2 linked regions of the Neurospora crassa OR74A genome follow. The protein of the gene in region 1 purifies or fractionates together with the protein of each later gene. This does not show direct contact. Links are inferred from orthologs where the notes say so. Each region holds a gene or a part of one and is shown on either strand. Other genes may lie near its edges. The genes, in order: arp-3 and NCU03050.

Evidence for each region.
Region 2: the proteins of arp-3 (region 1) and NCU03050 purify together in Saccharomyces cerevisiae (affinity purification with western blotting; 6 studies listed by BioGRID, with this or other methods). This does not show direct contact. The link is inferred for Neurospora crassa OR74A from reciprocal best matches to the Saccharomyces cerevisiae genes ARP3 and ARC35.

The regions. Positions count from the first base shown.
Region 1 is NC_026502.1:2,533,651-2,540,173, forward strand, and holds arp-3 (actin), read left to right. Parts: upstream 1-2,376; 5' UTR 2,377-2,568; coding exon 2,569-2,603; intron 2,604-2,686; coding exon 2,687-2,709; intron 2,710-2,776; coding exon 2,777-3,004; intron 3,005-3,053; coding exon 3,054-3,100; intron 3,101-3,157; coding exon 3,158-3,244; intron 3,245-3,306; coding exon 3,307-4,140; intron 4,141-4,196; coding exon 4,197-4,262; 3' UTR 4,263-4,424; downstream 4,425-6,523. Other genes in the region: NCU01757 (asparaginase), read right to left, coding at 1-809, 881-1,080, 1,135-1,364. UniProt on the Saccharomyces cerevisiae protein: Functions as ATP-binding component of the Arp2/3 complex which is involved in regulation of actin polymerization and together with an activating nucleation-promoting factor (NPF) mediates the formation of branched actin networks.
Region 2 is NC_026501.1:8,289,856-8,296,875, forward strand, and holds NCU03050 (ARP2/3 complex 34 kDa subunit), read left to right. Parts: upstream 1-3,304; 5' UTR 3,305-3,546; coding exon 3,547-3,611; intron 3,612-3,708; coding exon 3,709-4,373; intron 4,374-4,424; coding exon 4,425-4,525; intron 4,526-4,581; coding exon 4,582-4,710; 3' UTR 4,711-4,713; exon of another isoform or gene 4,714-4,844; intron 4,845-4,929; exon of another isoform or gene 4,930-4,966; 3' UTR 4,967-4,995; downstream 4,996-7,020. Other genes in the region: NCU03049 (flavin-binding monooxygenase), read right to left, coding at 4,996-5,888, 6,064-6,251, 6,319-6,480, 6,554-6,749, 6,833-6,852, 6,938-7,006.

The sequences.
Region 1 (6,523 bases):
CGGTGCATTCGAAAACATCGGGTCGCTGATCTGGGCGGGCGAAAGTGAGTGTTCCTCCGATTGGTTCTCCATGGTGTTCAGACTCTGGTTGTGGTCTTCCTTTACGCTCACAAACCCATCATGAGTTGACAATGACGGAGATCGTCTCGGGGTTTCCCCAGTAGCCGGGAAATAGCCAATATCTTCACTGTGACTGTGACGTACCACTGCCCTCTTCATGGCGGCTGGGCTTCCAGTACTGGCGCGTGACTGAAAAGCACCTGACACGTAATTCATGGCAGCTCGATCGACTGGCTTGCTTCCGTTGGTGAGACTTCTCTGAGGTGGGCGAGGTATGGCTGAAGGGACACTTCCAAGTGATCCATTTTCACCCAGTAAAGGGGACCCTCTACCATATGGTGAGTCGGGTTGGCCTTCGTTCCATATCCCAGTCAAAATCGCACTCGAGTGGTCCCGTCGCAAAGTCGACGCGTTTAGCGTTTCCGCCGCTTTTTCGTAGTCACTCGGTGTCGGCGACGGGCGATGTGTCTCTAGGTTTCTCAGAGACACTTGTGAGATGTGAGAGGAGTTACTACTTTGAGTAATCTGTCTTGCTTCCGCCTTTTTCAAGTCCTCTTTCCAGCGGAGAAAACGATCCTTTGCGTTCTTGGAAATGAGGTATTCGTTTGGTACGGTAGCCATCCCGTGTTCTTCGGCAAAGTCCCTAGCTCCGAGGCCCACGAGAATATTCGGCGGTACTCTTCGGAGGGAAAGAGGCTGACTACTTTTGTCCAGAATTAACTTGGCAAGCGAGATGGGGTTTTTGATGCCTGCATATGTCAACGAGTGTCAGCATGTCGTTTCTGGCCGCTCATATGTGGCACTGTCGGTTTGGGCGTACCCGAAACAGCGCCACAAGCACCACTCCTCCCCAGATGGTCGACTACAGTTGCGTCACATTCGACAACTCCATCCATGTTGAGATTACTTCCGAAGCCGGCATTCGTAATCTCTTTGTCCTCCAAACACCTGATAGCAGCTTCGACAGCCTCGGGGGCAGAAGCACCGGCTTTCAGAAACCTCATGGCGACACGGGAGGCTCTAGTTACAACCGCATCAGCAAGGGATCACCTGATGACTCTTGACTCAACTTACTCGCTGCATGCTTCCAAGTGAACCTTTTCATTCGTAATGCTATGGTACCCTGCACCTGCGTGGACAAAGATTGCCGCAACTGGCTTCGTCGTACGCTTCCATATCCTTTCGACACCACCGTCCAATCCGTATTCATGATCACCAGACCAGTTTGACTCTGAGGAGCTGTCCGACATGTCCATATCTGATTCAGGTGACCCATGGCCGGGCTCGGCATTTTTGCTGCTCATCGTGGGCGCAGCTGTGATAGAACGACTCGAGGAGATAGTCGAAGCAGCGTGTGATCTGGCGAGGTCGAGTTGTCTGGTAATCGAGCATGTGTCTTTCAAGCGAGTCTGTATTCTGAGGGCACATAGAGTCCTTAGTTTTGGTGTGTCATGGGTGACTTTTGTGCCTTGGGACAAAGATGGGCGAAAAGACTTATCGAGGCAAGGGCGAAGAGTTGGAGAAGATCGGAACGGGTGGATGAGATGAAAAGGGTGGTCGGACTTGGTGTCCCTCGTAAAAGCAACCTGCTAAAACAATGAATGGGAATAATGCTCGGTAGTGATAATGTCTTGAGGGGTATTTGAGATTGGAGCGATGCCCAATGAGCTAGATGATGCACTCAGGGTGGCCCGAGGGGTGAAGAGTCCCTTTGGATACAGTAGGTGGGCGGGATGAAGATGTGTGAAGGCAAAGGTGGCAAAATACAGAATACGACAGAGAGAGAGAGACGGAGAGAGAGACGAAACGGAATGTGGACACTGGACAGGTTGATGATTCGTTGTGATAAGTGAGAAGCTGTGAGTGTGTGTAGCTTCTCCGCAAAGTGGACTTGCTTCGAGAGGATGAAGCTGAAATGAATCCGACAGAAATGGCAGGTGTGAGGGAATCTGGCTGGAGGTGATTTTCCATTCAGTATCTCCTTCCTTCTTAGAAGGACACATCCTGTCTGGCTGGCCTTGTCGCTACAGTTTTGATACCGATCGGCCCCACTTTTTCCTAGCCATCATCGTCCGGGCCCGGGCCGTGTGCTTCAAACTCCGATGCTTGGGACCGGGGCATCGGTTAGGTTTCGGGGGGCTCGGATGGCGCGCAGGTGGCAGCGAGGTGTTTGGTTCCGTCATCTCCAGTTATGGCGTAGGTCCCGTCGCTGGAAATGCACAACTGACTAAATGGACCGCCGTACCATACGGGGACCTCGCGGTCTTGGCGCACAGCCGCACAGGTACCTCCACAGTACCACGCAGCGCTGTCAGCCAGACGAGTAAGGAGAGCTAGCTCGGCCAGGCACGTACAATCTTGGACATCAACCTCCATTTCCCGCCTGGCCTATCCACTACCCATCCACGCTCCCGCCCCGTCACTTCATCCATCACCAACTAACAACAGCCGTTGCTTTACCAAACCGCAATCATCACGAGCTGCGCGTAGCAGCACACCACCGCAACAATGGCCAACACAACCCCCGCCGTTGTCATGGACAAGTACGTGCATCCAAGTGTCCCGTCTCCACCCCGCCCGCTCCTTAACAGCTCCGGGGCCGTCATCGCTAACATCCCCTAACCAGCGGCACGGGGTTCTCCAAGCTAGGTTCGCGACTCCGACACCCCAAGATATCCAATGACCACCGATTGACCAAGCTCTTCGTCGTCTGCAGGTTTCGCCGGCAATGATTCCCCCTCGTTCGTATTCCCGACGGCCATCGCGACCAAAAGCCCCTCGGCAGGCACCGGCGGCTCGGGCTCTGGCCGCCCCGCCGTAGCCAACAAGCCATCCTTCCTCACCGGCGGCGCGGGTCCAGGTGGCCATCTCTCAGCAAAGCGCGGAACCGAAGACCTCGACTACTTTATCGGCGACGAGGCCGTAGCGGCCGCCAATGGACCTGGTACGTTGGTCTACACCGCCTCAACGGAAATGGGTGCTGACGGTGTTAGGCTACGGGTTGCACTATCCCATCAGACACGGACAGATCGAGAACTGGGTGCGTTCAGGCTGCTAGATGGCATGTCACAAATGCCTAGAGCTAACTGGAGCTTAGGATCACATGGAAAGGTTCTGGTCCAACTCCATCTTCAAGTATCTGAGAGTAGAGCCTGAGGACCACCACTTCCTCCTCACTGAGCCCGTAAGACTACACTTTCCAAGCCACATCAGTACTACGTCTGCAGCACTGACACGTCGATTCAGCCTCTCAACCCTCCCGAGAACCGCGAAAACACCGCCGAGATCTTCTTCGAATCCTTCAACTGCGCCGGTCTCTACATTGCCGTCCAGGCCGTTCTGGCCCTTGCGGCTTCCTGGACATCATCCAAGGTCCAGGACAGATCCTTGACCGGTACTGTCATTGATTCGGGTGATGGTGTGACACACGTTATCCCGGTCGCCGAAGGTTACGTTATCGGCTCGTCCATCAAGTCGATCCCTATTGCCGGTCGCGATATCACCTACTTTGTCCAGTCGCTTCTCCGTGACCGCGGCGAGCCCGATTCGTCCCTCAAGACGGCCCAGGAGATCAAGGAGGAGTACTGCTACGTCTGTCCGGATATTGTCAAGGAGTTTGCCAAGTACGACCGCGATCGCAGCCGATTCCTGAAGCACACCATTACCCAGCCCGGTGGCCGCCAAGTTACGGTTGATGTTGGCTACGAGCGTTTCATGGCGCCCGAAATCTTCTTCAACCCCGAGATTTACTCGTCCGATTTCCTTACGCCCCTGCCCGTGGTTGTTGATGGTGTCATTCAGTCTTCGCCCATCGATGTCCGTCGTGGTCTCTACAAGAACATTGTTCTTTCGGGTGGCAGCACGCTCTACAAGGACTTTGGTCGCAGGCTACAGCGCGATATCAAGCAGCTTGTCGATACGCGAATCAAGGCCAGCGAGGTGCGCAGCGGTGGAGCAAAGAGCGGTGGTCTTGATGTCCAGGTTATCACCCACAAAAGGCAACGGCACGGCCCGTGGTTTGGTGGTAGCTTGCTCGGTCAGACGCCCGAGTTCCGGTCGTACTGCCACACCAAGGCAGAGGTATGTTTCTTTACCCTTTTACCATTGGCAGTCTGGTTGCTGACGGATCTTTACAGTACCAAGAATATGGACCCAGCATCGTGCGCAGGTTCGCTCTGCTCGGAGGACCTGGTGGATCTTAAGCGTAGTTATTTGTGTACAGGAGCGAGTCCGCATCTTATTTGGCAGGCAGCGGGCGCCGATGCTTATATAATGGCGATGAATAGAAAAGAGGAACTACTTAATGCTAGTGAAGTTGGGTCAGCGTAGACGGCCAATGTGTCTGTTGTTGTGTTGATGTTTAGGAATCCGTTGCGCAGAGCAACGGTCCCCTTAAAAGGGGGGCTTAATGGTACCGATCGGCTGGTTCCGGAGGCGGCGTGCCAAGCCATTGACGGCATTCACTGTAACTCTCGGTAAGCAAGGATGTGTCAGCACCACGACCACCGGTTCGCGCCGGGTGGCCTGATATGGCCCGACAGTTCTGGAACTGGCCGAACTCCCATCGGGCAAGCTAACCGATAGCTTCGCATCAGTTTCACAACTTGCTGATTTTTCTCTTCATTTTTTCAATGTTGTTCCTATTCTCAGCCCATTGATTAGATTCTAATCAGGACTGGGCTCGATTGTCATGTTGAAAGATGTTGCCTGACATGCTCGGACGTCACCTCACAGTAAACCGACCGTGTTCCCAGAGAGCATTCACAGTTTGGAGGGTTCAGTGATCAGATTGCTTACTTTGCGCCGGGCAAGGAGCAAAAGGTTATGCAACTTTCTGCATGCCTTCATAGAGGTCGGTACCATAGGTATGGGTAGGTAGGGTAGGTAGTACGACAAGAATGCGGGGAAGAAGCTTCGTCGCTGAAACCAGGGGTTCCAGACCGTCCTTTGGTGGCTTACAAGCCAAGCCTCCTCGTCACCTGCACCGGCTAAGTTTGCTGTTTTGAGGCTTCTTCGCTCGAGCGGAAGTTGACTTTTATTTTTTCCTTTTGTTTTCCTTCGTGTTTGCTGGAAACGATAATTGATCCATACTATTTCCATCAGCCTCCGTTTCAGCTTTACCACCAACCCAACCAGCGTTGACAAAGGCGCGGGGAAAGGGTGAGCCACGACGTCCACGAGATCTTCGACGAGGAGGTGGAGGAGGAGGAGAAGGAGGAGGAGTGGTTGGCACAGGTTTCAATGTGTAGCGTATGTAGTGGTGGGTTCGAGACAGTGGCTTCCACTTCGGTGGAGCGGAAAGTCGTTTATGTATAGGTACGCAGTACACTACACCACACTAGAAAGTGTGGGGGTGGAACATGACGGCGGGGTCTCGGATCGGACCCGCGCGCTGTCAACGACTTTAGTTAGTTTAGGCAAACACCGTATCCAAGACTGTACTCGGATCCAAGGTGCCGACCACCGGGTGTTTGGTTCTGCGACAAACAGTGAGGTTGATGAGAAAGTTCCCACAAAAATAAGCAGGGACGGTGAGATTTCGGCCGCTCCATAATGACTGGCAAAAGCGTCTCATAAACCACGAGATGGGACCAGAACCTCAGGTGCTTCACGGCATTGTTGACATGATGAGCGGGAAAAGGGCCGTTTCCATGTGGCGCCTCACGAGAACAACCTAACGATGGTCCGGGCGACACTAGCCGGGCTCCGCTGAGGCTGGATAGGGCGGGCTGTCCCCCAACGGGCACCCCCGCTGTCATCACTCGACTCAGCGCTCCCGCCAGTTCCACACTCACTGAAGCTAACATAGGTCTCATCCCAGCCTCCATCTCTTCAGTTACATCACTCGTGCCCAAGTTGGGACGATCGCGCTCGACATGCGCCAAGAGCCCACGATTTCCCCCAGTCCTCCTTTTAGCTTTCTCCTCTTTTGCACATCAACACCGGGGGACCTTCACTATGCTAATAGCTTAGTGCATGATCAGCTTCATCTAACAAGAGCTCGTGACCTTGTTTGCTTCCAACTGTTGGCGTCCGAGTGCCAGCTCCCCCGCATTTTGTATGTACAGTTGACAGAAGCGGAGATCTCCCCTCTTGGCTTCTCAATTTCTCTCTAAACCTTCGGAAACCTTGAACCGGCCGATGCAGCAACTCCATTGAAGCTTCCCTTGGATCAATCAAGCTGCTGACGGGGACTGGATGGGGGGGCTTGAGAGGGGTATCCACCGGGCTGATGGAAAAGGGCAGACAATGGGCGATTGGCCAGTGGGAGCTCCCCGTACCGTCACATCCTCTACGTCCCGCCTCGCCCATCGACATCATACGTTTTCTCTCGTCCATCTACACACACCAAGACTCTAACCCTCCAGTTGAGGGTCTCGGCCCCTGCCTCGCCAGACGTCCGACTTGTCTTCCCACCGAGCCACCACTAGCCTCGCCGGGTCTGTAGAGACGTGCAGATCTC
Region 2 (7,020 bases), on another chromosome or scaffold:
AGTTCCTATTATATTAATAGAGGTATAAAATCTTCTAAGTATTTATTTTCGTAGTTCTCCTTCCTATTGTAACTAAAGGTAACGGCCCGGTGGGAATACTAATAATGTAGTACTAATAAAATGTCCTAAATATTTTCTAATTTAATATTATATTAATATTTTAATTTGAGAATAATTTGAGATTTTTATAGTAATAGTAAACGGGAAGTGGTATATACGGTACGTTACTTATTCCTATTATATTTAAATTTCTATAAGATACTCCCGCTTTTACCTTATAGTATCCAACCTCTACCCCCTATATTATATCTTTCTTCCTTCTATATTCTATTAATTATTATATTTTTATATTGAAAGATTTAAATTACTATTTTTAATTAATTTTATTATTATATTATATTGTTATATTATTTTGTAATATTATTTTATTAATATACCGGTTTCCTATTTTTACGAATATTGGTAATTAAATATAAGTAACGTTATTCTTACTTTAGAATTATATAAAGATAATTAATATATATTCGCTAGTATATATATAATAGGTAGAGGATTTGATTGCTAATATAGTAGAAAAGTTACTCTTATTGTAGTTGCAGCTCTATATAAACCTTAAAGTAGGCCTCCTAGTAGTAAGAATAAAAATAAATTTCGAATTACCGCTAATATCACTACTATCCCTCCCCCGCTTTAGGATATTACTTAGGTTTTTATTATTTAAGTTCCTCTTAATATTAAGGTTCCTACTATTATTATTATTACCCCTAAGAATACGAAGCTACGTAGAGGCCCTAGTAGACCTCCCGGTAGTAAGAATAAGTTTCGAGCTGGAAGTACTAATATTTCTACTACGGGGTAGGATAAAATTGCTGCTATCCTTCCTATTTATATCCTTAAATAGAAGAATATAATTGGAAACATTGCCTTAGATATTGCTAATGCTATAGCCGGTAAAGGTTTCTACCTAAATGGTTATTATAAGCTATTCCTTTAATAATTTAAAGCGGCTAATAAGAGTAATAACTTAAGTAAGGGCCTAATATTTATAATATTTATTAGTAGTATTACGGGAGTTTTAAGTATAAATAAGAAAAAGTTTTCGTGTAATATAAAAAAGGAATAGGAAAAATATTATAATAAATAGCCAAATATAGCTCGCTTCTTATATTATTCGGCTATTGAAATACGGGTTATTAATTATAACGGAAATATATTTTTACTTAGGGTTAAGCTTATTAAGAACGACGATTTTTCGGAAATTTTACTTTATACTAGTAAGTTTATTTTAATATAATTAAAAATATACAAAGTTTCTTACCTATTCTATACCGCTATTATTATTAATAACCTTTATAGTCCGAAATTTAAAGCTATTGTAACCCTTTAAGTTACTACTACTTTTACTCCTACTAAATATAAATATAATTACCCCCCTAAGGTTAAAAGAGAATTGGAGTAGTAGCTTCTATATATATTCCTAGTTCCTTCTACTATTATTCTACTTATTCCTATATACGGATAATTACTAGAGAATATATTAGACTATAGTATATTAATTAAAGAATAAATATATATTTTTAGTATTAAAGCTATTTAAGGTAGTAATGTTGAATCCGACGACGGTGGATATAGAAATTAAAAGAGACGTTATATTAAAATTAGAGAAAACGAATATAAATAGTATTTTTATAACGCTAATAATTATAAATAACCTTTTTATAATATTAATAACGATAGCGAAATTCTATTAGGCGGTAATATTATAGTAAGTAGAAATAACCTTCTTAGTTATATTGCTCCGCTGGGTAGTAATATTCCTAGTTCCTCAAACTTTATCCCCGACTATATTACTCCGCCGGAGGTTTTTGCTTTGAGTTTTAATTTTACTATATTTATGGAGGTACCGGTAATTACTTAGTCCCCTAATAAGTTAGAAGAGATTTCTAAGCCTCCTCCCCCTAATATTACTATATTTACAATTATTTAGTCCTCCAACGAATTAGAAGAGATCCTAGAACCTCCTAACTTCTATAAGTATAAAGGAGAGTATAAAATAGTTAATTAAATTACTAATTATAAATACAATTTTATTAAATTCGAAGGCGAAATTTAAGTTTCCGATTTAATATAAATAGAGTTTGTAGAGCGCTATTATTGTAGGGTTGATGTAAATAATCTTAATGGCTTCTACGAACTATGGATTCTAAATCGATATTCTATTAATACTTCTTTAGATTTAATGAAGAATATTAAAGAGGCTAGAAATTAAATTCTAAAAGATAGTTGTGGTTAGTATAGAATACCCTCGCCTAAATTCGAATTCCCGACCGAATACCTTAATAAATTTCACCTCTCTAAGGAAGAATAATTCCGGAGGATATTCGTCGCTAATAGTTAGCATTAGCAAAACCTACAATTATATATATATTAGGCTATAGTACCCCTCGATCTTCTTTAAGTTATTTTTTTTCTTTCATTTTTATAATATTATCCCGGGTTATTATTTACAATTAATTTTATACGTTGTTTTTATTTAAAGCCGGAGCTAGAGTTTCTTATTTTCTTTTCGCTATACTCTCCTATTGTTATATTTATATTAAGGAATATATATTTTATACTATTATATTGAAATAGTTATAAAGGAGGCGTACTTAGAGTAGGCGAATATTATTAACTACCTATATAGTACCTATACTCCAATTTTCTTATATATATAAGTTAGAGTTTTGGCTTATAATTATTAAAAAAGGATAGAAATGATAGGAACTATAAAGAACCTCCGCTAGGTAGCCCAAATAGGTAATTTAATATAGCGCTTTCTCCCTTACTACTTACCTCTATTAATATAAATATAATATTACTTAAAAATTATTGTAAAATAATTGTAAGACTTTTAGTAATTAGAATATATACTAATTATTAAATAGATAAATATAATTAAATAATTATTATATTAATAAGAATATTAGCCTGCAACTAGTAATTCAAGCGAGTATATATGTTATATTGCACATTTTGTGGCTTAGGTCGCATTATTGTAGTACAATTTGCTGTTGTTATACTTTTGTACGCTGTTGAACGGTCAACTCCGTTTCGTACCCAATACTACGTTAATAGTCGCTGTACTATTAATTAAAACTATACATTGCAAAATAAAACCAATTTTAATATAATAATATTCAACTATTTAGTAGATTACAGTAAGAAACAATACTGTATAAGGATGTTGCAGCCCACAACCCCTGCTCAAGCGTTTTATACTACAAAGGCCTGCTACGCCCACTTTTGTCAGACCCCCCATTCCCTCCAGGGCCTTGTTGGCCCATTCCACCTGCAGCTGCTGAGGTGCCGCTGGAGGTGCTGCTTGCTCTGTACACTAACACTGCCCGCCCGTGCTGAGGGAGGTGACCGCTCTACATACCTCTAAGATTGTAGCTACCTACCTATCACGGCCCCACCCCCGACACTTGAACACACTACGCAACTGACCCGACCCGGCTTCAACAACTCGACGGCGCCGGATATATACGAGGAATCACAGTCAACATGCTCCTGCTCGACTACCAGAACGTCCTGATTCAGGCGGTGCTCACCGAGCGTTTCGCTCCTGGGTATGTTTACCACGTCTCCAGCCCGAACGCGCAGTGCGCCTGTCCGCCCCTGAACTTGCACTGACGACGCTGCCGCCGCCGTCACCGCGCATTCCAGAGCTTCCCCCGTCAACATCGACCAGACTGTCTCCGACTTTGACGGCGTCGTCTTCCACATCTCCACCCCCGAATCCAAGACCAAGATTCTCGTCTCTCTCCAAATTCGATGCTTCCAGGATCTCGTTCGCTACGGCGCTGAGCAGGTCCTCAACCGCGAATATGCCGATCTCGTTGTCCCTCCCGAGGCCGGCTATGACTTTTCCATCCAGGTCGACCTCGAGAACCTCCCCGCCGAACAGGAGGCCCGCGATGCCCTTGTCATGAAGATTGCCTTGTTGAAGCGCAATGCCATGGCCGCGCCCTTCGAGCAGGCCTACCAGGAACACTACGCCCTAAAGGAGGAAGCGTCCAAGTTTACATCCGAGGAGGCGCCACAGGGTGTCCGTGAGGGTGGAGAGGTCAAGGCTATTCACTACCGAGAAGAGGAGGCTATCTACGTCAAGGCCAGCCACGATCGTGTGACCGTCATATTCAGTACCATTTTTAGGGAAGAAACGGACAGAGTATTCGGCAAGGTCTTCATCCAGGAATTCGTCGATGCCCGGCGCAGAGCCATCCAGAACGCCCCCCAGGTCCTGTTCCGCAACGACCCTCCTCTCGAGCTTCAGAATGTTCCGGGGGTGAAGAATACTGGTACAGGCGAGATTGGTTATGTCACTTTTGGTATGCCACATCGTGAAACAAGCTATATCTGGGATTGACTAACGGTAGCAGTCCTGTTCCCTCGCCATCTCACTCCTCAGCGGATGCCCGATGTTATCTCCCATATCCAGACCTTCCGCGACTACTTCCACTATCACATCAAGGCCTCCAAGGTAGGTGCATTGGGAAACATGCTACGCAGAGATCTCCATCTGACATTCCATCCCAGGCGTATATCCACTCGCGTATGCGCAAACGCACCGCCGACTTCCTCCAGGTTCTCCGGAGAGCCAGGCCCGATACCGAAGAAAAGGAGAAGAAGACAGCAAGCGGAAGGACATTCAAGGCTGGCGCTTAAGGAGTTCGTGCAGCGGTTTGTGTATCACGTTACTCTGCCTTTACTTGAAACCCGTCATGTTAGTCTATCGGCAAAGGCGGCCGAAGATGACCACTTACAGCTACCACCAAAGACAGACAATATTAATCACTACCCTAATCATTCCACTCGATTTACATAGTGAACGTTGATCTTGCGGCTTTCCGATATACCTGGCACACCGGAGTTCATTCTAGCCCAAGATACGTGAAGATTGCTTTTGGCTAACTAGTTTCAGCTAGAAATTTCCTATAACCGCCACCGCCCTCAATGCGACCATGGCTTCGACTTATACTTTGGGTTCTCCTCCGGCTTGCCCTCCCACGGAAACTCGATTTCCTCCGGATTCAAATACCAACTCGGATCGCCCTCTGTCTGCGTCAAACTCCATCCATTCCCCAACCACCTCAGCCCATTCCCACTTTTGTCAGCACCCTCATACATCCAGTCCTCCCACCTCGGGCTCCTCAGCGTCTCAACAGCATGCTGCGTCGACCCGGGCCACAGCGCCACGATCCTGTTTCCCGTCCCACCCTCCGACCGATACCAACTCTTGCACTTATCCAGGTACACCGTATCCTTAAAGTAGGCATCCACAAAGGCCACAAAGTCCCGCACTCGTTCCGGCTTGGGCTCCATGGACGCGTAATCCTCCTTTTGTAATTTGCGGATTACCGAGACGATGTAGTCTACCTGCGCCTCCAGGATCCGATTCAGGCTGCCGAACCCGATGGTCGTATTTGGGCCGAACAGCATCAGATAGTTGGGGAATCCGTCGACGGCTAGACCGAGGTAGCTATCGGGGTGTTGGGACCAGCGGGAGGCGAGGGTAAGTCCGCGCCGGCCGATGATGGGGAAGGGTGGGGAGGTGCAGGCTTGGAAGCCGGTGGCAAAGACAATTACGTCGGCGTCGATTATCTGTTTCTTTCCTTCCACAGTGGCGAGCGCGATGCCGGAGGAGGTAATGTGTGAGATGGGGTCGTGAATTGCTGTCACGTTGGGTTGTTGGAGGGCTTCAAGGTAGCCCCTTCCTGGAGTGAGGCGCCGGCAGCCAGGGGCGAAGGCCGGGATGATCTTGGCTAGCAGGTCGGGACGAGCCGACAGCTTGGATTCCATGTCCGCTTTGAAGAAAGCTTGTCCCTCGATGGTCATCGGGTGGCCTGCCATGGTGGAGTTGTGGAGGGAGGTGCCAAAGTCTTCAAAAGCTTTGCGGAATTTGAGGAGGGCGGGGCGTCGGAGCGGAAGAGGGCTTTTTGTTCTTCGGTGACTGGGTATAGGTTGTTAGGCTCTTTTGTTCACGGAGAGGTCCGTGATCTACACAAGATGAAAACTTACACTCGGTTACTTTGGGATCCAGTCCTAGGTCTTTCATGGTGTTATCACCAAAAGCTGACGATATCCAGGTCGGTGATCGTATGAAACATGAGAGCGTCGTTCCTTCGAGTTTCTGGAGCTTGGGAACGATCTGGATGGCACTGGAACCGTTACCCACAACAGCGATCTTCTTGTTGCGGAGGTCATAACTGTAGGTCAGTTAGCACGACACCTTTTCAGGACTGCCTCTGAAAGGCCAGTCAGACAACCTCTTACCTCTTATCCCACGCCCCCGAATGCATCTTCTTCCCCTTAAACTGGTCAATTCCCAGAATATCCGGCCATCGCGGCTCGCTAAGCTGACCTCGAGCCGTAATCAGCACGTTCGCCGAATCGGTAAACACCTCTCCGGTAACCAGATTCATGACTTTGAATTGCCTTTCCGTTCACGTTCTATTAGCCTGTCTGTTCTATTTGACGTGTGTGAAACTGGTCTGAACTTATAACGAACCATTTCTTCTGCCCATCGTCCCAGACACATTCCTCCACTTTATGTGATAACTTGATGAACCTCGTCGCTCCGAATTTCTCAGCCACGTCCTGCAGATATTTCTGGATCTCGTGGCCTGGCGCATAGAGGTTGGACCAGTTCGGGTTGGGCGCAAAGGAGAATTGGTATGAATGAGAGGGGATGTCGCAGGCGACGCCTTTTGTTCGTTTTAGCTGTCGGTTAGTTGATCTGCTTTGGTTTCCTACTCCTGTTTGGGGACCACGACCAGGTCGTACATACCTGGATATGTGTTCACCCACCTTTTTGTTTCTTGCAGTATCAGTGTCTTTGCTTGGTGAATGACTGGCGGTCCAAATGAGTTCATGAGGAAAAGCGTGGACTTACCATGTCCCTCCGACGCCTTCGTATTTCTCATAGACCACTAGCTCGACATTTCGTAGCTTCTCTGGTATTCTTCACAGCACACC